Linked DNA regions of Tamandua tetradactyla. The protein of the gene in region 1 interacts with the protein of each later gene in a pairwise test. Links are inferred from orthologs where the notes say so. Each region holds a gene or a part of one and is shown on either strand. Other genes may lie near its edges.

Evidence for each region.
Region 2: the proteins of CKM (region 1) and ASB9 interact in binary tests that used the Homo sapiens proteins (3 or more experiments, as listed by UniProt). The two-hybrid records come from large-scale screens. The link is inferred for Tamandua tetradactyla from reciprocal best matches to the Homo sapiens genes CKM and ASB9.

What each region holds. Positions count from the first base shown.
Region 1 is NC_135342.1:15,655,699-15,671,621, forward strand, and holds the start of CKM (creatine kinase M-type), read left to right. Parts: upstream 1-8,217; 5' UTR 8,218-8,349; intron 8,350-10,472; 5' UTR 10,473-10,491; coding exon 10,492-10,684; intron 10,685-11,425; coding exon 11,426-11,580; intron 11,581-11,977; coding exon 11,978-12,110; intron 12,111-13,685; coding exon 13,686-13,857; intron 13,858-14,920; coding exon 14,921-15,044; intron 15,045-15,852; coding exon 15,853-15,923. UniProt on the Homo sapiens protein: Reversibly catalyzes the transfer of phosphate between ATP and various phosphogens (e.g. creatine phosphate).
Region 2 is NC_135353.1:159,757,313-159,773,370, reverse strand, and holds the start of ASB9 (ankyrin repeat and SOCS box protein 9), read right to left. Parts: upstream 7,121-16,058; 5' UTR 6,712-7,120; coding exon 6,618-6,711; intron 1-6,617. Other genes in the region: ASB11 (ankyrin repeat and SOCS box protein 11), read right to left, coding at 14,654-14,778. UniProt on the Homo sapiens protein: Substrate-recognition component of a cullin-5-RING E3 ubiquitin-protein ligase complex (ECS complex, also named CRL5 complex), which mediates the ubiquitination and subsequent proteasomal degradation of target proteins.

The DNA.
Region 1 (15,923 bases):
GTTATCTCCCACGGAGCCACAGCCAACCTGTTGCTTCCTCTCCTCCTCCAGGAAGCCCTCTCTGATTTCCCAGGCTGGGTCAGACATCCTTTTGGGGGTCCTGCAGCCTCCTGATCTCCCCCATCCCAATCCTGCCCACTCTGGGTTGTAGCTGTCTAGGAATGGGTCTGTTTACACCACGGGACAGGAGCCCCCTATGGAAAGGAAAGACCAAGTCTGTCTCCCATCACTGCCATGTTCCTAGCACGTCCAAGTACAAGTGAAGGCACTGGGGAGAATGGTGGTGCCTAAATGATGGAATGCACAATCTAACTCTTCCAGAGGGGGCTGGGAGGGATAAAGGGACAGCTGAGCTCCCCTCCTTACACCCACTCCCATGCTTTTGGCCTCAGGACACTGTATGTTGGTTCTGCACACAAGGCAGGGTGGGTGATAGACTGGTGCAAATCCCAGCTCGGCCATTTACTGGCTGTGTGTCCCGGAGCCGGGAGATAACCTCTCTGGGCCTCGGGCTCCCCATCTGTAAAACAGGACTTGTGAGGGTAATCTACTTTATCAGGCTGTTGTGAGGGTTAACGAGTCATCCCGAGAAAAGGCTTAGGAGACGGTGGTGGCACACAGCAGATACTACATGTGTGTGGGGAGGGGTGGGGGGGCCAAGGGACCTGGAGCCAGGTAGATCTGAGTTTGAATTCTGGCCTTGTCGTTTCCTTGTCATGTGACTATGCAAGAAATGACCTCATTCTGAGCCCATGTTTCCTCCTCTGAAAAACAGGGATGATCAGGTTTACCACACAGTATTGTGGAAGGATTCAATGAGGGAAAGGTTGAAAGAAGAAAGTTAACTAAGGCAACCATCTCTTTAGGCTGGCCCTGTGCCAAGCAACTTTCCCTCACACCAATGAGGGCTGGTGTTTCTGAGTTCTTAGCCACACCCAGGTGCTGAGCCAAGCTCTCCTACCAACCCTACGAGGCAGGTGCTAGGATTATCCCCATTCCACAGATGAAGAAGACGAGACACAGAGAGGTTGAGTAGCTTGTCTAAAGTCACACAGCCAAGTAGTAGCAGAGCCATTAAATCCATACAATAGTCACCTGAGGTAGGTACCATTATTAGTCCCACCTAAGATGAAGAAACTGAGGCTCAGAGAGGAGAAATAGGTTACCCAAGTCCATATCCAAGAAGGCAGTCAACAAACACCCCATCCTGTTCCATAAGGCCTCAGTTTGCCAACTCAGGAAAATGGGTGGATGGGTCAAGGATTTTCTTTTTCACCTCTCATCCAGTTTTTTTTTATTTTCTAACATTTTTAATTGTGAAAGATATATACACAGAAAGGAAAGAAAAAGCAACAATTTTCAAAGTGCACTTCAACAGAATAGATTTCAGAGTTTGTCAGGGGCTACCACTCCATTATTTCATATTTCAGATTTTATCTTCTAGCGGATCCAAAACACCGGAGGCTAAAATCAGTGTAGTGATTCAGCAGTCATATTTATTTGTTAAATCCTATTTTCTCTGTCATACCTCTTCCTTCTCCTTTGCTCCTTCTCCCAATCTATAGGGATCTTTAGGTAATGCTGGTTCTGATTTTTTCATGTTGAGAAGGAGTCTCAACACTAAAGGATAGGGGGATGTACTTAAGATAACCTTGGAGAGGCTGGTCCCTCTGGTGTTTCAGGATGTATCTGGCCCGGGAACCCTCTGGAAGTTATAGGTTCCAGGAAGTCAAAATTAGTGTGTGAAACTTTTATAGCGTCTCCGCTCCAGCCCTAGGTGTTCTGAAGAGTCAACAGGAGTGATGCTGGTTGGGGGTTAGCAAACCATGGCAATCAGCACTCTCCAACCGACGCTCAGGTAACAGTAGCCTCCGGAATAGCCTCTTGACTCCATTTGGTCTCTCAGCCACTGATGCCTTATTTTATTACACTTCTTTCCCCCATTTTGATCAGGAAGGCTTTGCCGGTCCCTTAGTTTGGCCAGTTTAAAAAAAGTCTTATTTTTCCCCCCTTAATTGAAAAATTTATGCACCGTCAGAAAAAGAAATTCACAGAATATAAAAGGAGTGAAAAGTAGGTCTTCATCTCTTCTTTATTTATTTATTTATTTTATTAATTAAAAAAATTAACTAACACAACATTTAGAAATCATTCCATTCTACATACGCAATCAGTAATTCTTAATATCATCACATAGATGTATGATCATCATTTCTTAGTACATTTGCATCGATTTAGAAAAAGAAATAGCAAGACAACAGAAAAAGAAATAAAATGATAATATAGAGAAAAAATTAAAAATAAAAAATACAAAAAATATATATAAAAAACAAAACAAACAAACAAAAAACTATAGCTCAGATGCAGTTTCATTCAGTGTTTTAACATAATTACATTACAATTAGGTAGTATTGTGCTGTCCATTTTTGAGTTTTTGTATCTAGTCCTGTTGCACAGTGTGTATCCCTTCAGCTCCAATTACCCATTATCTTACCCTATTTCTAACTCCTGATGGTCTCTGTTACCAATGACATATCTTCATCTCTTCTTGATCCCTAGATACCTTCTCACATACCTTCCAGAGATCTTCCACGGCTTTGGGCTGTGTGCTGATATAGGAGTGTGTGCGCCCATTGAAGTAAAACAAGTGAGGAAACACCTCTCCATGGAGGTGGGCTGAAGATTCGTTGGCCTTGACTTTGGGCTTGGCCACGTGACAACTTTGCCAGTTCTACGCTTAGGCCTTCGGAGACCTTGCATGTTTACTTTCATGCGCTGGCATCATCATCAGAAGTGTTTCTCCTACGTGGCTGCTCCCCCTTTAGCCCACACCCCACGGTGGAGATGTGGGGGACAAATTTCCCACCTGAGCTCAACCCAATCAGCCAACCCTCAGCTAATCCCACATCCATGAGAATAAATGGTTGCTGTTTTAAAGCCACTGAACTTTTTGGGGGGAGATGTGTTTCATAGAGCTTTTGTGGCTGTAGGCATATCGGGTTTTTTTTTTTTTTTTTTTTTTTCACTTAGCATGTATAGATCTGTGTGCTGGCTTGAAAGGATGTTTGTCCCCTAGAAAAGCCATGTTTTAATCAAAACCCACTTCATAAAGGCAGAATAATCCCTATTCAATACTGTATATTTGAATCTGTAATCAGATCATCTCCCTGGAGAGGTGATTTAATCAAGAGTGGTTGTTAAACTGGATTAAGTGGAGGCGTGTCTCCACCCATTTGGGTGGGTCTTGACTGGTTTACTGGACTCCTATAAGAGAGGAAACATTTTGGAGAAAGAGAGATTCAGAGACAGCAGAGAAGAACGACATAGCCACAAGAAGCAGAGAGCCTACAAGCCAGCGACCTTTGGAGATGAAGGAGAACACCTCCTGGGGAGCTTCATGAAACAGGAAGCCAGGAGAGAAAGCTTGCAGATGACGCCTTGCTCGCCATGTGCCCTTCCAGCCGAGAGAGAAACCCTGACCCTGTTCGCCATGTGCCTTCTCACTTAAGAGAGAAACCCTGAACTTCATCGGCCTTCTTGAACCAAGGTATCTCTCCCTGGATGCCTTTGATTGGACATTTCTATAGACTTGTTGTAATTGGGACTTTTTCGGCCTTAGAACTGTAAACTAGCAACTTAGTAAATTCCTCTTTTTAAAAGCCATTCTGTTTCTGGTATACTGCATTCCGGCAGCTAGCAAACTAGAACAATCCACTTTATTCTTTTTAACACCTGCATAGTATTCCAGTCATCTTTTATCCAATAATAAAAAGATTCTTAAAAAATACTCATAGGACAGAGAAGAAATAATAAAAGAAATGAGAAAATCTTTAGAACAGGCCAATCATCAAATAAAATATACATGTGCTTCCAATGGCAAAACCAAATGCCAACAGGCAGGGGGATTAGGAAAGGGGTATGGCTTCTTTGTGGAAGAAAAAGAAATAAAATATACACAAAAATATAACAAAACCTGTTAAAGTACAAGCTATTGCTACATGCAACAGGATGAAGGAATCACCAGAAATAATGTTGAGAAAAAAGCAATCCCAGGCAAGAGAGGACACCCCTGCTGGACCGTGGCTACCTTGGAGGGGAGAGGAGACACTTAACTGGAAAGGGACAGGAGAGAGCTTTCCGGGCTGCTGACAGAGCTGTATCTTGATCCCGGTGGTGGTCACTCCAACGTCCAGATAATGTCAAAGTTCACAGAGTTTAAGATTAGGGCAGTTCACTGAATAGAAGTCATGCCTTCATTTTTAAAAAGTACATTTCAGAAAAGAGAACAAAATGTGAATGCGTGACCATCCAAACACTCCAAATTTACTCAAACGTAGCATTTTCAATGTAAAGAATAAAACTGAACTAATAATGCAGAAAGAATCAAACAAACAAACCCAAACCTGTGGTATGCAATTAAAGCAGCACCTGCAGGAAAATATATAGTGAGTTGATTTGGAGGGACTCAAGCAGGGCAGGAAGGGAACTTCTGAGAAGAACTTGTTCTTACTGGCTCCTCTCCCTGCACCCCTACCCTGCCCATACCGGGCTTGACGTTCAGCAGATTACAGGGCTGCAGCAGCTCTCGGGGGACAAGAAGTAGGGGTAGGCAGACCCTCAAATCCCCGCTTCTGGGTCTGCCTTTGATTTACAGTTTGTCTTTCTTGAATCAGACGACATTATAGACAGTTGGGACTGGGAGAGGGTTTGGGGTTGGGGAGGACCTGGCCAGGGGAGGGACAGGTTCAGGGGACTTGCTAGAACAAAGGGAGAATGTGGGAGCAGGGCTGCTGTGCAATGCCCGGCCTCAGGGGTAGGAGTGGGGAAAGAGTATAGGCTCTGGGATTCCAGACATATGGGCTGTGTGATCCTGATAACTCAACCTCAACCTCCATCCTCTATAAAATGGCACTGCAGAGGTGGGATTGGTAAGGACTTGAGAGTATCACCGCAGGATCTGAGTGCCTGGTCCAGTGTGACTCTGGTACTTACAAGCTGTGTGACTCTGGGTAAATGAAACAACCTCTCTGGCCAATTCATTCTCCCAATTCTTAAAAACATAGTGCCCAATCTCATAGGACAGTTGGAGAATTAAATTGGCTAATGCACATAAAGTCCTTGGAGCCTGAGGTCAGACTCTTGGGCTGATGAGAAGGGCAAGGGGAAGCAGGTACTAATGACCGGGGTCTGATGTCCTGAAAAGGGACCCTGAGCTGACAATATAGTCTATGACTTTGCTGGGAGACTTGGAAGATTCTTTTCACTAAAGTTTGAATACATTATTTGCAGTTCTGTCAGTTTGAATCCTACCTCTGTCTCTTCCCAGCTGTGTGCCCTTGAGCAAGTCACTTAACCTCTCTGAGCCTTATTGTTGTGAAGGTTAAATGAGTTACTCTATATAAAGCACAGAGTACAGCACTTGACACATGGGGACTGCTCTATAAAAGTTAACTGGCAATGACTGGAATGGCTACTCAACAGCCATGCTAAATTTTTTCTAGAGCGTCTTCCATCCATGAAGGGCCTGCAAAGCTAAAAACTAGGTTTTCCAGAGGGAGTGTGGTTCTGAGGCTGAGAGGTGTTCCTGGAGGGCCAGCCTAGAGCTTGCTCTCTCAGCCCTTCCACTGGTAGCAGTGGCTTTCCAGGGTAGAATGGTTTCTGTGGCCTGCAGTTGTGTGATATGACGACTATTATTTTCTTAGTCAACAGATACTCATTTATCTTGGGGGCACTGGGGAGCCATGGCAAATTCTGAACAGGAGGGAGAGACGGGGGGTGGTTGGGGGGAGGAGAGACTGGGTCCAGAGACCAGGGAGGTGTCTGGGCAGGATGAGACACCTGGGAGATGGGGGGCCTTAGCCAGGGTGGGCTGTGGGGAAAGGGAGGAGGCCCAGAAAGGCTGGGAATGAGAAGGGACAAGCAGCAAGATCAAGATATGTATATGTGGGAGGCAACAATGCTCCCCAAAGCCAGCTGTTTCTGGGAGATGCAAACAAGGTAAAGCACGTTAGAGCTCATGCTCGGGGTCCTGGCCCCATCCAGGCCCCATGCCTGGACCCCTTGCTCCAGGGGATTCTGGGAAGCCACGTTTCTGGCATTTTCCGCTTCTCCAAAGGAGGCCGTCAGCAGGTGGGGAGAAGACAGAAATGGCATGTCATGCTGTGCAACCCAAAGAGAATGTCGAAGGCCCCCCTCTCCCCCATGGCCATCCGGGGCCCACGGCGCTTGGCCGTGCCATCCGCAGAGTGTGTGTTGAGGCTGGATCCTGCGTCTCCCCTACTCACAGCTCTCCGTAGCTTCACCCCATCCCTGGTGAAACTGAAACATTCCCCCCCCCCGACACCGTGGTGTCCAGGGCCCCATGCTCTGCTCCCAACCCCCCTCCAACCTCATTTTCTCCCCCACTCCTCCCCTTCCCCTCAGACCACCTGGTCTCCTCAGTGTCCCTCAGACTTTGGCTCTGGCCCCCTCTCGCCTCAGGGCCTTTGCACCTGCTCCCCACCCCCGCCCAGCCTCCAGCCACTCTCCCTCCAGATTCCCACATGGCTGCTTCCTTCCTCGCCCTCGGAGAGGCTGGCCCTGACCTTCCTTTCTGGAAGGTCGATGCTGCACCATCAGACTCATCCCTTGTCCTCTTCTCTTTTCCTTCAAAGCACATATTGGCCCTGACATTACATTATATATTCACTTGTTCACTGTCACGAAAAGGTCACTTCCATAGGGCAGGGCTTTTGTCTGGTTAAGCTGTGTTTGAAGTGCTCAACAACTCATTGTTGAAGTGATAACTGCATGAAGATTTTGGGCCTGGGTTTCCCTGATCATGATCTAGAACCTTCGCCAGCCTGTCCTTGCTGGGAAGGAGCAGATAGGTGGAGAGGTCAGGGCGGGGCCTTTCACCTAAACCAGTCCTCACCTGCCTGGGAAGAAATGGGGAAGACCCCGGGAAATGCCAGAAAAGGTGGAGACCTGGGAAGAAGGGAGGAGGCCGGGAGAGGAGGGACCAACGGCCTGTTCTCCGTGGCAATCCCAGGCGCTCCCTGGAGGAGGCGTCCTGCTCATCTTGCAATCCTGGAGCCCCCCAGGCGAAGGAAGCCGCTTCCTCTAGGCCGACCGGCCGAGTCCTTGAGGTCGCAGGTCACAGTCGAGGGGCCGAGCGCTTCCTGGCGAGGCTGGGGTCCGCACGGATCCCGGGCCCGCGCTGTTAAATGCGTCGCCGCCCGGCCCCGACACAGAGGTGGGGGTGGGGGCGGCCGTCCGGGTCCGTTGCTGCCCTTGTAAGGAGGCGAGGCGCGGGGACACCCGAGCCAGCCGGTTATAATTAGCCCGGACACGTGGTGACCCTGCCCCCCACACCTGCCCCCGAGCCCCCCCATCCCGGGCGCCGCGGGTCTCCGCCTCCGACAGCGGAGTGCGCTCTAAAAATAACTCCTTTCTCGGCCAAGTTCCTCCCTGTCCCCTCCGCCCCGCTTTCGTGGCGGAAATCTCCCAGGGTCATAGCTGCCCTCCACGGTGCAGTCCTGAGTTTGAGTCTCTGTAACCCAGCCTGCCTCAGTTTCCCTTCTGCTCACTTCCAAGGAAGAAGGAGGGAAGGAACATCAGAGCTCAGGCTTCTGGGGTCAGACTGTCCTGGGTTCCAAACACCTCCCCCCTTTGGTCCCCTCCCTAGCTGAATGGCAGCGGGCAAGTCACACAGTCCCTCTGGGCCTCTTTGTTTTATTTTCTGGAAAACGCGGGTGCCGCCCTCCCCGGGTCACTGCGAGGTTTCCTGACTGGTGCTCTTAGCAAGTGGTGAGCGCTCAGTACCTGCCACTTTGCTAGGGTCAAGGGGATCGGGGACTACAGAAGAGGCCAGGGAAGGTTGGGGGGAGCAGAGGAGGGGGCTGGCCAGGCCAGATGAGGGGGCTGGCGGCCCAGCAGGCTCAGGGCCTGCAGGAGGCTAGCAGCCGAGGGCCCGGGGACAGCGGACGAGTGGCTTCTATGTGCCTGGGACGTGCCCGGCTGCTGTCCCGTGCTCTTGGCCACGGGCCAGCTGTCCCCGCCAGCCCGACTCAGCACTTGGTCGGGGAATCAGCTGTGGAGGGGTGGGGGGTGCCCAGGCCCGGCCCCTGCAGTGGCCCATACAAGGCCCTGGGGCTGGGTGCAAGGCACCCCTGGGTTTGAGGTGGGCATGGTGCCCGGGCGGGGAGGTAAGAGGCCCGGCTGTCCTCTGGTCCCCTCCCTGGGAGCAGCCACTCCCAGCCAATAGCACAGCCCAGGTCCCGCTATATAAGGCCTGGACTGCAGGCCCCTCCTTTGGGTCAGTGTCGCTTCAGAGGATACAGACAGCCCCTTCCAGCCCAGCCCAGCCAGGTACTGCCCGAAGTGGGGGTGGGGTGGGGGCCAGAGCAGGGGTTCCATGGGTGGGCGCCAGAGTCTGAGCTGGTGCTGGAAGACCCCACTGCACCCTCCTGTGGATGGGCGGGCCTGTGTGGGGGAAGGATGGCTTCGTGTATCTGAGGGTCCTCTCCACCTGGGAGCTCACCTGACCCCCTGGGGGCACTTGTGTCTCTGTGGTGCAGGTTCCTGGGGAGGAATCTCAGAGAAGAGAGGGGTCTTGACAGCTGCCAAGTGTCTCCCCTCCCTGTGAGGGGCTGTGGGGCTGGGACTGTGTTCTTTAGTGGTTGTTACCCACACTGGTGCCACCAGCGCACAGGCTGTGGGAGGGATCTGTGAACCTCTCACGTGTCAGGGGTGCAAGAACAGGTGTTGCAGGGGCTTTGCGGTTGCGACCCCCGTGTAGGACCCTGCTGTGTCCCCTCCAGGGGTACCTGTGCCCTGGGCATTTTCCCTGGCAGGTGTGACCCTAATGGCTGTTTATGGGGTGGTTTGGGGTGTCCATCATGGCGTGATGTCCTGTGTGTGTGGATTTGGGGCTATTTCTGCTGGGTCTCCTGGGGTTGCCCGTCTTGCTTCAATACCCTTCCTGGGGTGGCCCTGGCGGGGACAGGGGTGGTCATACCCTCAGGGGGGAGGGCTCTGGGCCGGAAGCCCAGAATGTCCTTGAGCCCCGAGGCCTGGGTGTGTGTCCTCTGGGCTACCCTGGCCCACCTGTCTCTGGCCTGCTGACTTGGTGCAAGCCGAGCCCCTGGAATGTGGGGGTAGGATGGGGTGGGGGGCAGCAGCTGGGGAGGGGGGAGGAGCCTGCCAGAGTCTAAAAATAACACCACCCCACCTGGCAGCAGCTCCAGAGGGCCTTCACGGGTCCCCTTCCCCACCCTGGGGCCCGGCGCCTCGGCCCCCACTCCTGCGTTCCTTCCCGCAATCCTGCCTGCTCCCGTCCCTGAAGTGGGGAGTAGGGACCCCAGCCCTGCCTGTACTGCTGGAGGATCCCGCCCCCTTTCTGGGGCTAATAAAAGTAATAACAAACATAGTGGCCACCTCCTAATTTCTGGCCACATACTCCATGCCGAGACCTGGGCTCAGCCCGTCACACCTCCCTGGGACAGAGGCTCAGAGAGGCAGAGCAACTGGCCTGGGGCCACACTGCGGGAAAAGGGCATCAGTGGGACTTGAACCCAGTCTTGTTGGCCCCGGAGGCTGAGCTTTCCTTCCGATTGAGGCCCATAGGAGGGGCATCGGTAGGCAGAGCTGGGGCCAACCACCAGCCAGTCCTCCCACCCTGGTCCTATGCTTGGATTGAGCATCTAGAAACCTTTGTGCAGAGAATACACCTTCTCTTGCGCTCCCACATTCATTCCCTGCCACGCCCTTCATCCCACCATCTCATCAGCTCCTCACAGACCTTTAAAATAACAACAGTGATATGAAAGCAGCTAGGCAAAAGAATGCTTACTGTGTGCTAAGCACTACTGCAAGTGTTGACATGCTGTCACTCATTCAGCGCTCACAAAATCCCCATGAGGTAGGCACCATTATGACCAACTGATGCCCAGAGAGGTTAAGCATCTTGCCCAAGGACGCACAGCCAGCTGTAAGTGGCAGAACAGCTTCCAGCACCTACATTCATAACCATGGCACATCCAACTCCAGCTCAGGGGTTCCCCCACCCCCCACCCCCCCCCCACTCCCATTTTCCAGCTGAAGAAAAGGAGTCTCTAGCAAATTTATAATCTAGAGTGACCCAGCCAGGAAGTGGCAGAGCTGAGGCCTTAAGCCAAGACCCCTCAATACCAAAGCCGGTTCTTCCAGGAGAAGTGCCCCGTTATGATGTGCTGGGGCTCGTGTGCACAGATGGTTCAGTGGTAGAATGTTCGCGCCTGTCATGCGGGAGACCCGGGTCCAATTGCCCCCCCATGCACTACCCCCCAAAAAAACCAAACATGCTGGGGCTCAGTGAGGGGCCCCCCTTGCTCCAGGTGACCCAGGGCTGGAGTGAGGAACGGCCTCCAGGCCCACTGGCCCCCAAAGCCTTGCTCCGATTTCTTGCTGGTCTCTGCTGGGTGCGGGCTAACCCTCCCCTCTGCCACCGCCAGGCCCCCACACGCCGCCACCATGCCTTTCGGAAACACGCACAACAAGTTCAAGTTGAACTACAAGGTCGAGGAGGAGTACCCTGACCTCACGAAGCACAACAACCACATGGCCAAAGTGCTGACCCTTGACCTCTACAAGAAGCTGCGGGACAAGGAGACGCCGTCTGGCTTCACCCTGGATGATATCATTCAGACGGGGGTAGACAACCCAGGTGGGCCTCCCTGGCCGGGAGCTAGAGGGGGGCTGGGGTGAGCCAGCAAAGGGGTCAATACGTGCGAAGGGCACCCCCAAAAGTTCACCAACATAACGTGAGACGTTGAGGAAGTCATTTAACCTCCCGAGCCTTGGTCTTCTCATCTGAAAAATGGGCACCCACGGGATAGGCTGTCATGGAAACATCAACTCGAGAGCGTGGAATGGGAGTGGGAGCTGTCAGTGTTGTGGACAAAGGGCCCCCGCAGTGGAGACGGGGGCTGGTGGCAGGACCCAAGGTTCTAGGACCGTCTCGGCCTCTGCCTCACTGTGTGGTTGAGGGGAGACTCCCTCTCTCTCCAGGCCTCAGTTTCCCCGTGTGGGAAACAAGAGGGTCTTTCGAGTCTCTTATTACCCCGACCTGCTGTGGGTTTTAAAGATGTTTAGGCTGAGATTCCATGATTGTGGGGTTCTGAGGTGCTAATGTTTTAGCCCCTTGTAACCAGCTGCCAGAGACTCCCCTAGAGCCACCCTGTCCCCTGGATCCTATCCCCCACCCGGCAGCTTGCTGTCCGCATCCGCCTCCTCTCCACCTTCTCAATCCTGGCCTGGGGGTCTGGGGTGAGCCCCCACCCCCTCCCCTGCCCCTGCCCCCTCCCCTCCCCCTCCCCCTCCCTTTCCCGCACACCCAGTCCTCACTGGACCCAGGGGCCCTGCTCGCTGGGGAGCAGCGCCTCTGACCTCATCCCAACCCCCCCAGGTCACCCATACATCATGACCGTGGGCTGCGTGGCCGGGGACGAGGAGTCCTATGAGGTTTTCAAGGACGTCTTCGACCCCATCATCCAGGACAGGCACGGGGGCTACAAACCCACCGACAAGCATAAGACCGACCTCAACCATGAAAACCTCAAGGTCAGGGCCCCTGGCGTGGTGGGGGGCGGAGTCTGGGTGGAGCAGGGTAGGAAGGGCAGGAGAGATGGAGAGGGGCCAGGGTGGCGATACGGGGGGAGGCAGAGATGGGAGGGGGGAGGGGGAGAGGGGAGACAGGGGCGGGAAGAGACTGAGCTGGGGTGGGGGGGCAGGTGGGGTGCAGCGGGCAGAGGCTTGGCCAGGTGGGGGGGAGGGCGGGAGGGGGCAAGGGAAGCAGCAGAAAGCCAGAGCCCGAGAGGACCGAGGAGGACCTGGGGCTCCTGGGGTCGCACAGGTGGGGGCACCTGGGGCTCAGCGGGCGGCGGGGCAGGCTGAGGGGGTACGCCCCGGAGGGTCTGCCCAACCCTGACACCTCCCCCAACTCCGGGCTGCCCTCTAGGGTGGAGACGACCTGGACCCCAACTACGTGCTCAGCAGCCGTGTCCGCACCGGCCGCAGCATCAAGGGCTACACGCTGCCCCCCCACTGCTCCCGCGGCGAGCGCCGGGCCATAGAGAAACTCTCCGTGGAAGGTGAGAGTCCCTGCCCTGGCCACCCAGGGCAGTGACCTGGCCCTGTCTAGGTTTCAAAACCGTGAGAGGAGCTTGGCAAACCCAGGGGTGCTTGGAGAGTGATGGCCTCTGCCGGAGAGGGGAGAATGTCAAGGCCCAGGCTGTGAGCAGCATGCAGCACTCCCTGCCCCGGGGCCCGGCTGAATGTACTTCATTCATTTGGACAAGGTGACTTTTCCTGGAGCCCACAGGATAAGGGATATGATGGAACACAGAGACCAATAAGTGCACAAAATTTCAATGTGCCAGGAAGCCAAGAACCGGGGGGAAGTGGTAAAGAATGAAGGGGGGCAGCTACTTTAGAAGGGAGGCGCTGAGACCTGACTGACAAGAAGGAGCCTGCCTTGGGAAGAACTCCAGGCAGGCGGAAGAGCAGTGCAAAGGCCCTGAGGTGGGCATGTGTTTTAGGGGTAGAGGGGGTGTGAGGTGGGGTGGGGGGGATGAGGGGAAGGGGTAGTGGTGGCCAATCTGTGCAGGGCCTCCTTTAGGCTTTAGCTCTGAGTGAGGCAGAAGCCACGAAAGGTGGAGAGCAGAGGAGGCACAGGTTTAGACTTACCTGGATCCCTCTGGCTGCAAGGTGGAAACAGACCATGGGGAAGTGAGTAAAGAATGGAGCAGGGAGGCCAGTCTGGAGGCAACTGCAGTGGTCCAGGCAAGGGACAGGGGACAGGCACTGGGATGGGGAAAAACAGGGGGATCTTTTGAAGGTAGACCTATCAGGTCCTGCAAGCAATGGTGTGCTGGCAAATGCTTAACAACAGGCTCTCTCTGTCTCTCTCTCTCTGGGGTGGGGGGAAGGTGGAGGGGAGGGGAGATGTGGAAATAGCCCAGATTTGTAGAGTTTGTCTATTTCTGTGGTGTAAATTTTCATACTAAGGCCAATTTTAAGCTGTCAATGTAGCATCATAAAATCAATGAAAATAACTCAAGAACAGAGATTATAGTAGAGGAGTAAAATAACTCGGAAGTGTCAGTTTTGAGTATTTATTACCTTTGTTTTCAATTTAATTGTATGTTTACATAATTTAATTTTACTAATATATAACAGCATATAATATATGAACAATATAAAATGTATATAAATATATAAAATATGTAAGTATAAATAATATATAAAACATTATACATATACATAGGCTACATTAATTATACATATAAATATATATAAGTATTATAGATAGCAGTAATTTTTACTAATGGCTCTGCAAATTCTTAAGATTTTGACCATCTCTCTTGAGAGCCCTTTGGTTGCTGGAGGATTGGATGTGCCCTCAGGGGAAGGGGAGAAGCTTCTTTTTTCTGGCTTAAGCAGCTCATCTTCTGGGGCCCAGGTGGATGGGAGAGGAACCCATTTTGGTGGGAGGTTGTGACTTTGGGTTTGGACATGGTGTTTAGGCATCCTTAGGACAATGAGTGGGCTGAAGCTCAGGCCTGTTTGGGGCAGCTGTGCAGGAGGGCCCCTGGCTTCCGTGCCCTGGTTGGTGGGTGGGGGTGAGGGTGGGCAGGCTGGTGACCACCCCCTCTGTGGCCCCTCAGCCCTCAACAGCCTGACGGGCGAGTTCAAGGGCAAGTACTACCCACTGAAGAGCATGACCGAGAAGGAGCAGCAGCAGCTCATCGATGACCACTTCTTGTTCGACAAGCCCGTGTCTCCGCTGCTGCTGGCCTCAGGCATGGCCCGGGACTGGCCTGATGCCCGTGGCATCTGGTGAGGACCCCCACCCCCCACCCCGCTGCCCCATACACAACCATGGCCTCCCCGCCTCTCCCAGGCTTCCGCCCCCACCATCCCCACAACCCTCCCCACTCCCCAACCAAAGTCAGGACCATACAAATAATGATGCTTCTAAGCACCACACTCATCCGGACACCACCCCGCCACTCCCTGTGTGTCACATTTTGGGAAACTTGGACTAGAGAAGGCACAGTTAAACTTTAGACTTAAATCAGACTCCCTGAGTTCAAATCTCAGCTCTACCACTTACCAGCTGTGTGACCATGTGCAAATATATTTAACTTCTCTCTGTCCCAGTTTCCCTGTCTATAAAATGGGGGTGGTGGTCATTCCTAAAGCTTGGGGTTCTTGTGGAATTAAATGACTTAATAAAATGCAAAGTATTGAAAGCAATGCCTGGCATATAGTAAGCACTCGGTGCCTGTTGGTTATCAGTATTACCACTATTTCTAACTGCTAGTTGCTAGGTAGACTTTCTATGAGTCTTTGACTCTGATTTTGTGAGTCAAATGTTTAAAAAGGTTTAGAGAACCTTTCAGAGGATTAGGGGGGTCTAGAGTTCTAAAACATACAGATTGGATGATGTTAAGATTTCAAGATTTTAAATATCCATAGGTTCTAAGATTTCACTAACTTCTGATTCTGTGATCCCACAATTTCTAACATTTCCAGATCTTAATGTTTTATGGTACTAAGCCTCTGTTTCAGAGATGTCAGGATTCTGAGATGTCACATTTTGATGGGAAATTTGTCCAGTCCTGCTCTGCATTCCTAAAATGTATCAGTTAGGTTTTTCAAAGATTATGTGATTCCAAGAGTCTATAATTTAAAGGCTTAAGACCCAATGTTCGAAGACAGAAGACTTTAAAAGTCCCTGATGTCCAGCTTCGAGGCTTTACAGACTCTATATAACATCAGAGTCTACAGGTAGAAGCTTCTAGCTTGAGGAAGAATTGGACCACCCTGGGCCCTCGTGTTGGGCATGGGGAATGGGGTTTCCGCTGACTCGCTCGCCTTTTGCTGGGCCCCATCCTAGGCACAACGACAACAAGAGCTTCCTGGTGTGGGTGAACGAGGAGGACCACCTCCGGGTCATCTCCATGGAGAAGGGGGGCAACATGAAGGAGGTCTTCCGCCGCTTCTGCGTGGGGCTGCAGAAGGTGGGCGCCGCCCCAGGTTGCTGACTTCTGCCCCTCCCTGAGCCCCGCCTCGACCCACTTCTGGCCTCCCGGCCTCCCAGCCCCCAATTCCGTCTCTGCCCCCGTGTCTTCTTGAGCCTCTATTTTTTGACCTGACCTTTAGCTCGACAAACCACCTCTCCCTCCATCGAGGAATGGGGATTTCTGACCTCTAGGAAAGGACTCTCCGTGCCCCACGGGAACACACACCGCCAGGAAACTAACTGATCCTCAGCTTCTCAGAACCCGCCTCCACCCGCGTCCTCACGCCCCGCCCCCTCGGAACCCGGCCTTGCCCCGCGTCCTCACGCCCCGCCCCCTCGGAACCCGGCTCTGCCCCGCATTCTCACGCCCCGCCCCCTCGGAACCCGGCTCTGCCCCGCATTCTCACGCCCCGCCCCCTCGGAACCCGGCTCTGCCCCGAGGCCTCACGCCCCGCCCCCCAGGGGCCAGGCCTTGTCCCGCGGCCTCACGCCCCGCCCCCTCGGAACCCGGCCCTGCCCCGTGTCCTCACGCCCCGCCCCTCGGAACCCACCTCCACTCGCATTCCAAGGCCCCGTCCCTTAGAACCCCCTCCCACGCTCTCTCAAGCCCAGTCCCCTCAGCATCCTGCCTCCAGCTGTGTAGCAGAGCTCCTCCCCTCAGCATCTCACCTCTCTCCTTTCTCCAGCCCCGCCCCCACGGAACCCCGCCCCCACGCCCTCAAGCCCTGTCCTTCCCCGCCATGCCCGGGTTGCGGCTGTATTTTGGAATGGGATCCGGCGCTAACTTCTGGTTCCCTTCCCCTCAGATCGAGGAGATCTTCAAGAAAGCTGGCCACCCCTTCATGTGGAATGAGCATCTGGGCTACGTGCTCACCTG
Region 2 (16,058 bases), on another chromosome or scaffold:
TGTCTGAGCTTGCTGCACTCCAGCTCTGCCAGCGTTAGTAAACTCTCTAAATGTAAACAAGGCAGGCGGCAATGCCCTCCCCGGGAGCTGGTATCTCCTACAAGCTGAGAAGACCTGGAGCGTCCGGATAGCTCCCCATCCCTTGCAAACTGAAAAGCCAAGGAGGAGGAGGCTAGGGCACTTTGCACTTAACACACGTTGGTGGAGGCCTGCCTGCCACCCGGAGCCATCAATGTCCTGGAAAATCTGTCCCAGTAAGCAAATGACCATCCTTTCAGATGGATTCATTAAGCCTTTAGCACAGAGCACGGAGCCAGATGAGTGCGCCCACGCACTGCTCATCGAAGGCTTTCCTTCCGCAGTCACTAAAGCGCTTGAGGCTATTTAAGCAACATGGCTTTTCCTACCTCCGAAACCTGATGTTCAACAGATACTGAGTCACCTCACAGCATTCTCTGAGGTTTCTTATTCTCTCAAGAAAAATACTGCTGTTTCTAGGGCTTGGGACCTAAAATGTAGACTGTAAACATGCAAAGATTTAGGTCCAAATGAGAATGAAAAGACGACTCATTTCATCCTGTTAGTACTGATAATGCAAAACACCATCCGCGCAAAATCGAGTGGGACAAAAATTGGGAGAGGTACACTTGCAAATGTACCCTAATAGCTCACCATATGTGCAGTGATTAATCCATTTCTTCCTTCCAAGTCCTCAGCTGCTAAGAAATACAGCAGCCACACTCCTCAACCTTTCTTAAAACGATCTAAGATAATGAGGGTTGACAGCTTAAACAGTCCAGGAGGGTAATTTGGGTCCTAAACTGTAATGTCATTCCGATTTCATAAAGATGATGCAAATATATTATCAAGAGTAGATTAAGACAGGGTTTACTTTCTGCTCAGTCCTCATGGAACAATTACTCCCTCTTTTTAGAGCAAATAATTTGGTACCTCTGCAAGAGAAAAACAAAGGCTACCTGGAGTTTGTACCCCTGCACTCGAAAGTAGCATTTACAGAGACAGCCTGTCTCTAAACAGGACAGTATGTGACCTGGAACACATAGTGGGGGGGTGACAATATTAATGTCTTTAGATCTATGTATCTGTATCTTTTTTCTATTCCTCTGTGTGTGTGTGTGTATAACAGCTTTATTGAGATATAATTCATATACCATACAATTTGCCCTTCTGAAACATACAATTTGATGGTTTTCAGTATATTCACAGAGTTGCAAAACCATAATTATAATCAATTTTAGAACATTTTCATCACACACACCGTCCCCCCCACCTCAAAAAATCCCTGTGTTTATTAGTAGTCTCTCCCCATTTCCTCTTCCCCCTGTCCCTGATAACCACTGGCCTATTTTCTGTCTCTATGGATTTGCCTATTCTGGACATTTCCTATAAAGGAAATCACTCAGCCTGTGGCCTCTTGTGGCCGGCTTCTTTCACTTAGCATAATGCTTTCAAAGTTCATCCGTGCTGTAACATGACTCAGTACTTCGTTCCTTTTTATTGTAATATTCTATCATATGGATAGGCCAGATTTTACCCACCCATTCATCAGTCGGTGGCCATTGGGGTCGTGTCCACTTTTCCGCTAGCGTGAATGCTGCTGCTGTTAACATCTGGGTACAGGTTTGTGTGTGGACACACCTCTCCAATCCGCTTGGGTGTAGGCCTAGCAGTGGAATTGCTGTATGACCTGGTAACCCTACATTTAACTTCTGAGGAACTGCCAGGCTATTCTCCAAAGCGGCTGTGCCATTTGACATTCCCATTGGCAGTACGCAAAGCTTCCCTTCTAACTAATTGCAGTCCAGAGCTTGGTAAGCCTACCACAGAATGCCTGTTCTCCTGCCACAAAGAAAAACTCGGGTCATTGTTGAGCCAAAATCCATCTCAGATTTATAGAAGGACTTTAGCTTTTGCAGGCCGCAGAACAACTGAGTGATTATGGAAAAGCTTAAAGCTGGGACAATGGATAAGGTGACATTTTCCTAACATCTCGAGAGCATGGAATGTGCAAATGCCATTATTTGCAATATGGGTGGTTTTAGTTTGCTAAAGCTCACAAAATGCATTATACCAGAAATGGGCGGGCGTTTACAATTTCTTAACTTACACGTTTACAATTGTAAGGGCGTGAAAACATTCAAATTAAGGCATCAAGAGGATGATACCGTCTCTGAAGGCAGGTTACTGGTGAGATTGGGCTGCTCTGTTAGACAGCAAAGGACACGGTGCGTCTCCTAGGCCTTTTCTCCCAGCTTTCATTGCTTTCAGCTTCTGGCTTCGGTGGCTTCCTCTCTGAGCTTCTGCAGGTTTCTCTCTTTCAGCTTCTGTGGGGCTTTTTCTGCCCGCTTCTCTCTCTCTTTTATCCTCTTATAAAGGACTCCAGTAAGAGGATTAAGACCCACCTTGAATGGATGGGCTGGGTCACCTCCCAAATAGAATGACTGAATCTAAAGGCCCCACCCACAACAGGTCTCTATCCACAGGAATGGATTAAAAGAACATGCTCTTTCCTGGGGCACATGACAGCTTCAAACCCACAACGGGTAGACCAACAGACTCTCCTTGGCTCTTGAAAACCCTCAAGAGATCGCTAAGTGCACCTGGTGGGAACCAAATGAGGGTCTGCCTGGGAGGCCCAAGAGATGCTGCAACGAGCCACAGGCTCAGCGTGGGCCTGGTTAAACCCAGAAGCCGCTTCGAGTCTCTTCCTGCTCACTGGCAGCTGGAAAGATGGGAATAAGCAGGAGAGAGGGCCTGTTCCTCCCAGAGCATGGACGCTGCTCACGGTGGGAGGCTGTGTGATGGACGAAGGGGAAACCCAAGCCACCGGGACCTCTCCTGCTGGCCCCACCAAAGTCTTTGAAACCCCAGGGTCATTATCTGTACACAAACCGAGCTCTCCAAGCCCTTGGCATATGTTACAGAAAACTCCCCAGGACTTGTTCAAGCCAGGGTCTATTGGCTTCGCTGCCAAAAAAATAGAGGCCAAACAGGTTGCTGGCAACGCCGCGGATCCTGCCGTACAGCTCAGGGTTAATGCTGGCCTGGACGCTCTCCCGCCGAAACCAAGTAGCGCCATTAAGCTCACCCTGCATTTCGGGGGACTCTGAAATACTGTGCATCGATCAAGCCCTGCAGCGCCTTCAAAAGGCTGCTGTTTTGTTTTCATTGAATTTTTGGAATGATTTTCACATTTTCCATGATTTCAGAAGAGCCTTAACATGGGACAACTGGTGCACTCCTACAAGAGCTAGGAAGGAAGCTGAGCGCCCCAGCGAGGGCTGGGCAGTGGCATGAATGTGTCCTTGCCGGGAAACGTCCTGCAAGGTCAGGGGGACAGAAGAGAAATCGGGTTGCTCTGAGGGGTGGGGGCATTTTGGGTGCATTAGAGTGTTTCAGTGGCCCGCCTGTGACACCAGAGACTACCTGGGGGCCGATTATGACTACAGGGGACCTTGGCTTGATTCCAGGCCAAACGAAGGTTGGAGAGAAAGAGAAAGTGGGGATCATGGTCAGAAGCGAGGCAACCTGAAAGGCCCACTGAGGCAGGAGCTCGTGAACTCTGGGGCAAGCTGGTCCTGTCCTCTGCAGTTCTTCCTCCAGCTCTGTCATCCGTCATCTGTCACCTGTCCTCTTCCCTCTCCCTCCCTGCCCCTGGCTCACTTTATAAGGGGCTGCCCTGGCCATGGGACCTCAAGTGGCCACCCAACCTATCTGATCAGGAAGGTTTCTCCAGAAAATTCTCCCCTGCTTAGCTGCCCCAATATCTAAAACTCCACCATAAGAGAATGTAATTGTTTCCTCTCCGTGACTGTTCCCACATGTTTTCTGTTTCAATGTGAAGACTCGCTACAGATCGGCTCAGTTTTTAAGGCAAAATAAATCCCTATCCGTGGGAGTCTGTAGGTCAAAACCTGAAGGACGGACACCCAAAATGGTTAACAGCGTTACTTGGCCGGTGAGATTATGCATTGTTGTTAGTTTATCCTTCAATGTACCTTCCAAAGTTTCCATGAGTAGGGTTTTTTTGTTTTTCTTTTAGGGGCAGGGGAACACACATTTTTTCCTGTTCCTGGGGCAGGGAAGTGAAGCATTAAACAAATCTCTCTGAAGAGCTGGTTGTCCGCCTTCTTAAATCTTTTCTTCCAAGAACCAGCAAGGGGAGGAGGGAGCAGCAGAGTTCAACACATCAGCCCGGCGGGTCCCTACTTTCCCTCTGGCCTGGCCTAGGTCTCCTGAGCTGCGCGTTCCTGGCCATTTGCAAACAGCATTGTGTGGTCCACATTCCACACTTCACCAAGGTCAAGACTTCAGAAACATCAACAAGCACAACCCAGCATAATTGAGGTTTCGTCCAAGAGACAGGACCCAGGCAAAGCAGGGAGAGAATCACTCTTCTTGGAGAGGAAGAGAGAGAAAGTCTGGGAAGGCTTCCTGGAGGTAGCAGCTTGGCTGGGTGTGGAGGGTAAGCAGGAGTTTGCCAGTCAGGGGCAGAGAAGGAGGGTGTAAGAGAGCAGAGGTGTTCTGGTATCTGCCTTGTGATTTCTTTGGAAAACGTCCTTTCCCTTAGTCCCTGTGGAATTACAGCCTGCTAGTCTCTTCTGGCTTCTCTGCCCAAAAACGGGCCTCCGCCACCCCCTGGAGGCCCATCCCAGGGCCTCTCCTTGGTCCTCAGCACTTGGCCCCCAGACAATTTCTCCTTCACTGAGGTTTCAGCCGCAGCCCCCGTGCAGAACATTCTCAGGTCTCCAACTCCTGCCCTGTATTCGTTCCAAGTTAGGCCCACATCATCTTGCTGTGCATCAGCCATGTCATTGTTACACTGATGTTCCCATCAGTTTCTCACCCTCCATTCTTCACTCCACAGCCGGGCCAACGGGCCTTCCCAATTTCTCTCTCAGCTAGCTCCCTTATCTGACATTAATTTAGGCTCAAAAACTGTACAGTCTTGGCTGCTTCGTCTCCTTGGTCCTCAGAATTTAATCACACAACACAGCCTGATTTCTTTTTCCATTGAAATATCACCCGTAATTTCCCTTTCTCTATTGTTTCCACAGTTCGATCCAAATCCAAGAGTCATGCTTGGATTAGTGCAGTAGTTCTCAAACTTGTGGCCCCCAGGGACTAGCACAAGCATTACTTGAGAGCTTGTTATAAATGCAGATTCCCAGGGCTCACCTCCACACCCACCCAGGCCTTCCACTGTATTAGAAGCTCTGGGGATGGGGGTGGGGGGTGGTATCCATTCCTTTGCATTTTTAAAACCCTCTAAGTAAAGCTGATGCTCATGAAAGTTTAAACCAATGGAGTAGTACAAGAATCTCCTGTGATCCTCCCACAATCCATCCTGAGAGTGGCTCCCCAATTAATTTACTCACTGTTAGTTATTCTGCTTTTTGGCAGGGCTCCACTCCAGAACCATCAGTGGCTCCCTGCTTTGTGAAGACTAAACTCCTGCGCCTGGCTTGTAAAGTGCCATTATCAGGCTCCACCTCTCCAAACTTGTCCTCCTTAGATGTCCTAAGACACTCTGCATTCTACCTGTGACAATGTCTTCACTTTCTAAGCCCCAAGGCCTGGACTGTAATGCCTGCTCACGCCCACCCACCCATCCCACCCCACCCAGGTAGGATTAGGACCTTTAGAAACCCTAAACAGTTAGCTGTAAAATAATTGTACGGAGGGCAACCAAATTACAGATTCTTTCCCAGAATGACCGATGTGTTGCTTTAAAAACCCATGTATCAAATTATCCTTAAAATATGTTTTTTGGTTCCACCTGTTTTCCTACGGTCCCCAGTTCATGCTGAACAAATCTGCTCATTAATCCAGTCCTGCCTCTGTGGATCCAGGTCCTATTCAATGCTGAGTGCTCTCATTTTTGTGAGCAAAACTAAATAAATGAATGAATGAACTTCATCCGCTCAATTAGTCAGCAGGAAAGCGTTTCGGTTTTTTATTTCTTCTGTGTTGTCCCTTTTCAGCACCTGCCCTGCAGGAATTAATACATCTTAGTGGATCTCAGGGTCTCTGTTTATTGGCTCTGGAATCAACAAGTGCTGTGGGCAGCCGCAGGGTCTGTCCTCTACTGCCTGAACCTGTTTCTCAGAATCCTTTGAGCCCTGAATGAATGCTTTCCCAACCGGTTAAGAATCATACCTGTAAGACACTTTCCCAAAGTGGGGGGAAAAAATCCCTTTAAAATGAGTCCATCAGTAGGCTGTGTTTGAAACATCATCTCTAAACCCAGCCAAACCTGAATGCCAAATACCTATGACTTGTGACTCGAAGAAATGGTTTAGCAGTAAAAAGTTCCCCAGTTATAAGTAACTTTTGAAAGCTCCCATTTAAACAAGGGATGCATTGCATCGACAAAGAACAGTTCCTTGGAGGCTGACGTTTTTGCTGGAGAAGAATCGGTGAAAACGGACTCGTCACCGTCTATGGGGCTCTCGGGGTACAGGTGAAAACCGTTTAATCCGTGTGCGACCCGGCGAGCCGCGGACATCGGACCCGTACCTGCCCCGTGGACGCACCTCCCGAGCCCGGGAACCAACCTCCCCGGGCGCTACGACTCCACAGCCCCCGTGACTCACCCCGCATCATTGGGTTTGAAAGGAGCCAGGTGGTGGGACGGTCTCCTGGCCCCAGGGGTTTTCTGCGGTTCCTGCTCCCTCCTTCGCCAGCCATTGAGCGCTCCCGGGTCGCCAGGCAAACTCGGCGCGCCCCTCCGGGTGCTCAGGAAAGCCGGGGTCCCAGGCGTCCCCGGCGGCGGGCTGAGAAGCGGCGCGCGTCCTGCCCCGACGGCCCGCCGCGGAGAGCAGCGCAGCCAGCAGCGGGAATCTGGGCAACGCTACCTGCGGGTCGGGCACACGCACTCGCACACGCGCACGCTCCACCTAGCTGGCTGGAGGTCGGCCAAAGCCCACGACAGCCCCACAAGCCCCAGGTCTGCAAAATTGCTGATGTCACGTCCTTTCCAAAAACTGAGACCAATCAGTGAGGCAGCCTTGGAGTTTATCAGGAAGGAAACTCAAAAGTTTGTAACATTGGAGCGTGAACAAGGGCGGGCTTGAGGGAAGCAGCTCGCCTTCTGCACCGTGGTCCACCCTGCTGAGAGCTGTTTGTTACTTTTTCTCGTGGAGACCAGCCCCCCACCCCCACCCCCACCCCCGAGAGCTTGAGAAAGCTGGTTTTGCTGCAGCCCTGCAGAATTGCTTGCGCTGCGCAGAGATAAGCACAACAAAAAGCACAACAAGCCTGGTCAGCTGCACACGTGGTTTCAATTTTGCTGAGAGTTTCCTATGAGAAAATGTGTCTGTATGTCACAGAGACATGCACGTTTGGAAAGAACTTTTTCTTTTTTTCCCCTTTGGACAGCAAGGAGTTCATTAAATGTACTTCACCCTTCCTCCACACATTTTCACTTCCCAGTAAAGAATTAATGGGTTGCTATAGGAAAAATGAGTTTCTGGGTGGCATGGAGGTGGGGGTTGTTTGCAAGACACCTGCTATCTTTCTCCAATTGCTGATTATAAAGTTTTCCTTTATAAACGTTTTGCAGTCTTCGTTACAAAATATTTGGGTTTTCTGTATATGTATCTTTTCAGATAAACCCAGTTTCACAGCGCCCTTTGGTGCTGGTTCAGGCTGTTAACCGACCCTGGACTCCCACTGTTCCTCTCTGCCAGGTGGAAGAGGATTATCTTCCAGTGGGAGAAGGTTCTGAGTTAGTTTCAAGGTTAGTTTGGCTGTGAAATGATAGCGGAATTTTGATTGAATGCTGAGGCAGCTTCACTGTTTCTGATTTAAGAATCCCAGCTGAAACGCTCCGTAGCCATCGTCAACAATGCAAGGAGTCATTACAATGCATTTCCTGCACACATCTGTATATACATTTATCCGTTTACCATTTGTTCACATAAATGTCCTTAGATTGTCATGTTCTTCTATGTCCTTCACATTTATTAGACTTGGAGATGTTTCTGTTTCAGCATATATAGCTACATGCTCCTTTCTTTATTCACTACCGCCTAGCCTTCCTAGTCCATATTCCATATGATGGAGGCAGAATGTTTCTTTTTTTTTTTTTTGCTACTACTACAAAAACACTGCAGCCCATATTTTTTAATATATGGCTTTGTGCACATATGCAAATATTTCTGGAGGAGAGATTTCTAAGTGTGGAAACACTGAATCAAAAAGTATGCTCACATGCGGGTGATAAGTTGTTAAAGAAAAAACATAAACATGTAAAGGCACACACGTGCACATGAGTACAAGAAAAGCTGGAGGAATCTAAATAAGATCAGTGGACCATATCAACATTTAATATCCTGGTTGCAATATTGTACTAGAGCTTTGCAAGATATTACCCATGGGAGAAACTGGGTAGAAGGTGCACGAGCTTTCTCAGTTTTTTTGGGTTTTTTTTTTTTCCTGTCTTCTTTCTTACAACTGCCTGTGAATCTACAATTATCTCAAAAGATGTTTCAATTAAAAAAAGTGATGCTCATTTAAAATGGGGCTAAAAGGTGCCAAATTACCCCATCTCTATTTGCATAGTTAACTGAGAAGGGCAGAAGCATATAAATTCTTCACCACTGCTTCAGGAAAGATTTGAAGAACGATGTCATTTTTACTTGACAGTCAGTGAAAAATGTAGTCCCAGGCTCGACTGAACTACAAATAGTTAGACAGAGGGGCGTAGTGGAGAAGCTGGAACCCGTCACCATTCTTTCTTAGCAAAATCTTCATGGTTCAGGTTTGTTGCCGCTGAGTGGGCAATTTTGTCCTATGTGCACAGAAGTCAATGCCGTGACACCAGGAGTTCGAGAAAAGATTTATCACGCAGTCCACCAGCAAGGAGATCCAAGAGATGATCCTCAGAGCAGTCTCCCCAAGCGGAATGGGAGCTGAGGTTTTACCTGGGAAAGGTGGGCCTCAGGGAGGGGCTAAGGGTGGATGAGATGAGGGGTTGGGGGGAGTGGGCTAAAGGGGAGCCTGCTCAGGTCAGATCATGCTACTTCACGCATCACATGTTCAAAAATGGAGGGTGGGAGTGATTTTTACTATTTGTAATTAGGCAATGGTGATGTTAGGTCAGGGCTTCTCCTGACTGAGCATGCTCCAGCCCCTTGAACTGGCTAGAACCAGCCTTAGCAGGTGTTGGAAGGGAAAGAGGAACTTTTCCTGCAGCCAAGCAAGCTGCTACTGAATAAACATGAGGGGGTGGAAGCGCAAACAAAAGAAATGAAAACTTTTTCAAACCAGTAGGGGAGGCACTCCTTCAGTGGAGAGGAGGTTGGTAAGTGGCAATTCAGCGTCTTCCTTTATTTTTAATTAAATTCCAAGAAGATAAGATTTCTCCATATTCAAATTTAAGGTCGGAAATGACAATAAAGACTTCCAGGATGTTGCCCTGGTGCCTGTGAGGGAATCAGCTTTGTGTGTGTGTGTGTGTGTGTGTGTGTGTGTGTAAATTAATTTCTATTCTGGTAACATTTATACAACAAAAATTTCCCATTTGAACAACTAATCTGTTTTTAATCTTCTCATTATATTTGTAATGTTTATTGACACTTGTGATTTTTAAAAAACTACCCATAGTTCTAATCAAGAACTAGAAAAGCATTATAAGAAGAGTTTGTACATTTTTAAGGATTTACATGCGGATCAATTTGATTTGCATGTGTATGAGCCGTGATTAGAGAGAACTGGGTTGGATTACCACAAACCAGCAGTCTTATCAACTATCTTATCAGCTGTTCAGGCTTTGCGTGTCACTGTGTGTGTCTGCATGTTCAGCGAGGCTGGTCCCGGTTGGGAAAGAAAAAAGAATTATGGCCTACAGCAGATTCTAAGGTCACACTTGTTCTTTTTTTTTTTTTACTTGTGAAAAATAACATATATACAAAAGAGCAGTAAATCTCAAAGCACACCGCAACAATCAGTTACAGAACAGATTTCAGAGTTTGGTATGGTACAGATCCACAATTTTAGGGTTTTCCTTCTAGCTGTTCCAAGACACTGGAGACTGAAAGAAATATCAATACTATGATTCAGCAGTCATACTCATTTGTTAAATCCCATCTTCTCTGTTAAAACTCCTCCTTTTCCTTTGATCCTTCACCCAATCTTTAGGGATATTTGGGTTATGCCTATTCTAACTTTTCATGTTGGAAAAGGGTGTCAATAACAAGGGACAGGGGATAGAACTAGTTGATGTTCTTGGAGAGGCTGGCCCCTCAGGGCTTCAGGACTTATCTGGCCTAGGAACCCATCTGGAGGTTATAGGGACCCATCACACTCATTCTTTATCAGGTGCAGTCTCAACACTGGCCAGTCCCTCTGCCTCACCCTTGAGATAATGTCCCTAGGAAGGAAGCATGACTCATGGGTCATGAGACTCTTGTCTCCAAAGGCACCCACGGCCACTCGGTCAGAGTTGGCACAGGAACTGCAAAGAGGGGGTCTTGTCATTTCTGCTCGCAGTTTTTCTAGCACAAACCCTTTAAAGCCCAGAAGGTATGCAGCTTCACTGATAATTTGGAATTATCAGATTTTACGCAAAAATTCTCTGTTCCAGTCGTTCTTGTAGAATTGGCTCTGCATGCTGAGTTATCTGGTATTGCTGCTTTAGAGATAGAACGTTCTGCCTTCCTGCTCAGCAGAGCAGCAGAGCAAGATTCGAACAAGAACATGTTTTTAAAAATCTGCTATAATACAGTATTCATAAGGAAACAATCAGAGAAATGAACATTGAGGGCCCATCTACATGATAATGGAGCTGAACTCTTCAAAAATTTCAATGGCATGAAAGACAAAGTGGGGGTGTGGCATTCTATACTAAAGGAGATCAAAGGGGCACATAATCAAATGCGATGCAACATCCTAGATTGGAAACTGAATGGGGAACAAGCCAGAGAAGACATCAGGGCCCCAAGCATGGAACCTGAAATCTGGATGTACACTGGGTCACCGTGGTGTGGCGATGCCAGACGTCCTGAGAGGAGCACTGTATCACGGTTATGTGGGGACTCTGCGCGCTTAGGAGTTGCATGCGGAAGTATTTGGTATAGAGCCTTATGGACATCTTGGGCAAAAGGGGAAATGTGCGCCCCTATATACACATTTTGCACCAAATGGAAAAAGTTAATACAAGCTCTACAGAAAACAAACAAACAAACAAACAACCATGAGTACAGATAAAGCCCCCCACCGGGCCTGGTCTGTTCACATGCCATTGTCATTCCTCATAAATCCCATGACCACATGTCCCAGAAACCCGGGTTGATCGGAAACACTGTTCTCTTTGCACAATGCTGTAGGGTCGTAAAGCAAACACCAACAGTGTGCCTTTATTAAAATTTTTCGCATATTGGTCATCGTGGGTTTCTTGCCAATACATTTTTTTTAACTTTTCATTTTGAAACACTTTCAGACCTACAAGCCAGTTCCCAAAATAATACAAGCCCCATACAGAGAACTCCACCATACCCCTACCCCCTATAACCAGAGGCACCAATTTAAACATTTTTGTTACATTTGCCTCATCATTCTTTCTATCTATCCATTCATCCATCCATCCATCCATCCATCCATGTTTTGGTAAGTCTACTCTCCGAATATTTGAATATTGGTTGTATACATCCTGCTCCTTGAACATTTAATACTGTCACGTACATTTCCTAAGAACAGGGATATTCACTCACGTAACCCCCTTAACTGCAGTTATCCAGTTCAAGAAATGTGTGATTGCTATAAAGCCTACAGTTTATATTCCAATTTTTTTCACATGTCCCAATAATGTCCCTTTGAGCCTCTTCTCCTCCCTTGCTAGATCCCATCCAGGATCACATATTGCATTTAATTGTCATTGTCTCTTCAGTTGCTCTTTCTTTCTTTTTTTTTTTAATTGTGGATGTCTTAATATTTATTTTTTAAAATAGTGCATAAAATATTATTTAGCTTGATGACTGAGTGTTTGGTGTTCCCTTGAATTTTGCAGCTGAGGTGAGGGCCTCACTTGCCTCACCCTAATGCCAGCCCTGGTGAAAAATTATGATGTCTGCAATGATGTCTGTATGATGTCCAGATGGCTCAGTAAAATAAAAACCTGTGTGTGTGTGTGTGTGTGTGTGTATGCATATGTATTAATTATATATGCTTTATACAGAGATGTTAGTGTTTACATACATAGATGCATATATACATACACACACATACAGAAAGAGAAACAAATGTGGCAAAATGCTAACAATTGGTGGATCTAGGCGACAGGCATGGAGGGGTTGATTGTATTATTTTACAACTTTTCTGGAAGTTTGAAACATACAACAATGGTGGGGGAAGAAAAATTAATAAGTGGAAATAAAACTCTGGCATAGATTTTTTTACAGGTTCAACTCATGAAAAAAATAGGAAGCTGCTATTCGGTCTGACCCATGCATTCGTCCCACTAAGGGAAGGAGCTGAAATATTTGCTCTGCAAATGTCCAGGCAAGAGCTGATCCTTACAGTGGTTTGCGATGGGAGGAAACCGGAGGTCATCCAGTGGGGAGAACATCCTCCGGGGACAAGCTGTGGTCACTCAGCCCCGCCCCTCCCCATAACAGCTGCAGGCTCTGCCTCTGAAGCCTCCGCCCTTCTCTGTTGTGCTAAGTGCATAAAATCTCAGCAATGAGGCTTGCAACTGAAAAAAAGAATCATTCATCCAACATCATGCTTACTTGACATGGCAGTATTAGAAAGTTAGGGATGAGAATTATTTGGGGAGAAACAATTCCTTGATAATCAGAACCAAAATTGAGAGAATCGAATGCTATATATAACACTTAAAATAATTTAAGGAATTTTGGAAGAGTTGAGGAACTAGGAGTGGGGTAGGGTGGAGGGAAGGTCTCCTTTGTCCCTGTTATATGGCCAGGGCATTAACCCTTGATCTGCCATAAATGTCACATATAGCTTTTTCTTCCATTTTTGTTTGCCCTTTCATTTTACGGTATTTTTGGCAACATAATTTTTAATGTATTCTAAATTGTCAGTGTTGCCCTTAAAATTTTCTGCCTTTGATATTATACTTAGAAAGGCTTTGCCCACAGAGTGCATAAATATTCACGTGCATTCTCCTCTAGTATTTTCACATTTCTTAACATTTCAAAAACCTGAGATTTGGGTTTTTTTTTTTTTTTTTTTTTTGCATGGGCAGGCACTGGGAATCGAACCCGGGTCTCTGGCATGACAGGAGAGAACTCTGACTGCTGAGCCACCATGGCCCGGCCCTGAGATTTGTTTTTAAAATGTGACATAAGGTAAGACTTTAACCTTTTCCCCAAAATAGCTAACTAATTAAAATTAGTTTATGAGATAGTCTAGAATACCTGCTTCCTCTACCTACTTCAGGCCAGTAGCACGCCTTCTGGTTATGATAACCCAAAATTTCTCTAGACATCACCAAATATCCCTGGGGGTGGGGGTGGGGGTGGGGGGGAATTGTCTGCAGTTGAGAACCAAAGATCTAGAAAAATAGAAGAAAAAAAAATCACGTATGTAACTGATTTTAGGGTCACCTGAGAGAGGAAGAAGTTAATCATATATATATTTATTTCTATATGTGTGTGTTTCACTTAATTTTTTTCTTTTGAGAAGGTAACATGATTGAGTCACTGAATCACGACAGTAGCACTTTCAATAGTTAAAAGTCTGTCTAATTTCCATCTTTTAAACTTACAAAAAGAAAGAGGAGGAGAGAGAAAAGGAGACAGCAGCGGCTGTTCATATATGCTTTTTTGCTTGTTTTGGGCCCCTACCCACGGAAAATATACTGATCCAGCTTTGAGTCTGCCCTGCTGACTGGTATGCACGGGTAATATTTTCAAACACCCTGAGGTTCTCTTGGCATTGAAAAGAACCCAATGCTTGGGTGGCAACAGGCATCAGATGGCACCTGTAGGTTCAGGTAGATGGGACTCCTGGTGATGTACCATCCTAGAACTGCTTTCTTCCGAGAGCAGTGTTTAATAGCAGAAGTGATGAAAAATAGACCCTGAGATTTGTTTGGCATAATTTTTGCCAACATCTCTCTTAGCAACCATTTCAGTAACTGGAAACTTCCATTCACTGTGTTGTTTTTCATGTATTTGGCTTTTTGTTTTTAATATTGAAAAAAAAAAGGCAGGGGAATCAAAATGCTAGCAGAGATTTATTCCAAGAAGGAAGGAAAGAAAGAAGGGTGGAGGAGGGAAAAACTAAGTCAGGACCACTTCTTGGGCTATGTAACATTCATCGTCATCTCCCCCTGGATTTGCACATGTCTACACGGTATGCAGAAAACTGACACTTACGTACTTGAATATCATGAGCTATCGAAAAATGGCCTATTCTTCTCAGTCTACTTGACAGTTGGTTTTTTTAAAGTTTTTTAACAAGAGCTAAAGATGGAAATGTTGCCCATTGCCCCTTGGCTAATGAGAATATTAAACCAGCCAGTAGTTTTCACACCCCCAGTGTCTGGGACCGACCTGAATGGCTAAGCTGACATGAAGATGCCGAGAGTCCATGCCTGAGGAGACCTGGGCACCGCAGGCAGGAGCCCGTGTCTTTCCCAGGCTCTTCCAGTGGGCAGTAGGGCCTATCGGTACAGGAGGAATCTTTCCAGCGGCTCCGGCAGATGTAGTTCAAGGATGGCTTGATGGCATGCACGACCCAAGCGCTTACGGATACACAGGCGGCAGAGCTGGGCAAGGGAAGGCGGGCCTGTAGAGGGGATACAAATGGTTTAATCCCCATGGGGTGGGGGTGGGGATGCAGGGTGGAGACCAGAGAACCAAAAGGGACTGAAGACTTTCTAAAAGGACACGAGAAACTGGATCTGCATAGGAGATGACAGAGCAAGATGGCAGACATGAAATGCACACTCCCAGCTGCCCCTCTGGAGGGGGCATGTTTCTTTTAATTGATCCTTACATGGCAATTGGATTTGTGATGTTGACCAGAGGCCAGTGAGGAATGAAGCATGGGGTTTAAAAGTGTACATCCTGTTCATGGACTGGACGTGACGTGCTGGTGGAGGAGGACTCTCAGATGAAGTGCTGAGCCTGCAGGACCTCCAAGATGAAGCTGCTGAGCTGAGGGACGAGTGTGGAGAGGGTGTCTGCAGGAAGCCCAGCCTGTGTGGTCAGAGGTGGTGTCAGGAGATATGCCAGGGCCAGGCAGTCAGGCCTTGGGGTCCTCCTGGACCCTCCTGCTCTAGCTGCCTGGGAGGCGGTGCTGTCTGGGGCGCAACACACTCTAAGGGGCCCTCCATTCTTGCAAGGATCCCAGCTCAGTAGAGGCTCTAGAGAAAGGACCCAACTCGCCTAGACCCCATTAGACCCTGAACTTTAGTGGCTTTGAGTCCTCATGGGAGACAAGTTGATGAGAGTCCAAAATGTGGTTGCATGGGCTGAAAGAGCTTTTGGCTGGAATACTAGTTATTACAGGGGCACTTGGGATGGCCCACTGTCTCCTAACCTGACTGTTATCAATAAGAGCTCTATGTGATTTCTGGTCCATATAGAGTTTTCCTTCTCAAGAAAATCCTGTTGTAACTACATCATGCACCCCATGAGAAATGGTAGGCTGCATATGCAATTAGCTGGATAGCACTTGGATTGATGTTGCCAAGGAGTGCCCAGGTGACAGAAAACCTACCTGCATGACCAAACGATAGTGCTTGGTTAAAATCCTGGGATGGCAGAATGGAAAAATGTTTATACCTGTTTCACTACCTAAGCTCCTCTGGGAAACAGCAATGCGACAAATTATCCAGTTTGCCTGGAGTAGTTTGGACACCAGAGGAACTCTGATGTGCCTGGTGTTTGTCATTCTAGATCAAGCAGCTACATTTACAAAGGTTAAGGACCAAATAATTTGCTTATAAAAATGCAAATATTGGACCTGGAAGCACATTTGAAGGAAAAAAAAAACAGGAAGTGTGACAAACGCCTTAACTATATTTCCCACTAACAGTTGGAAAGTTCCTGTTATTTCCAAAC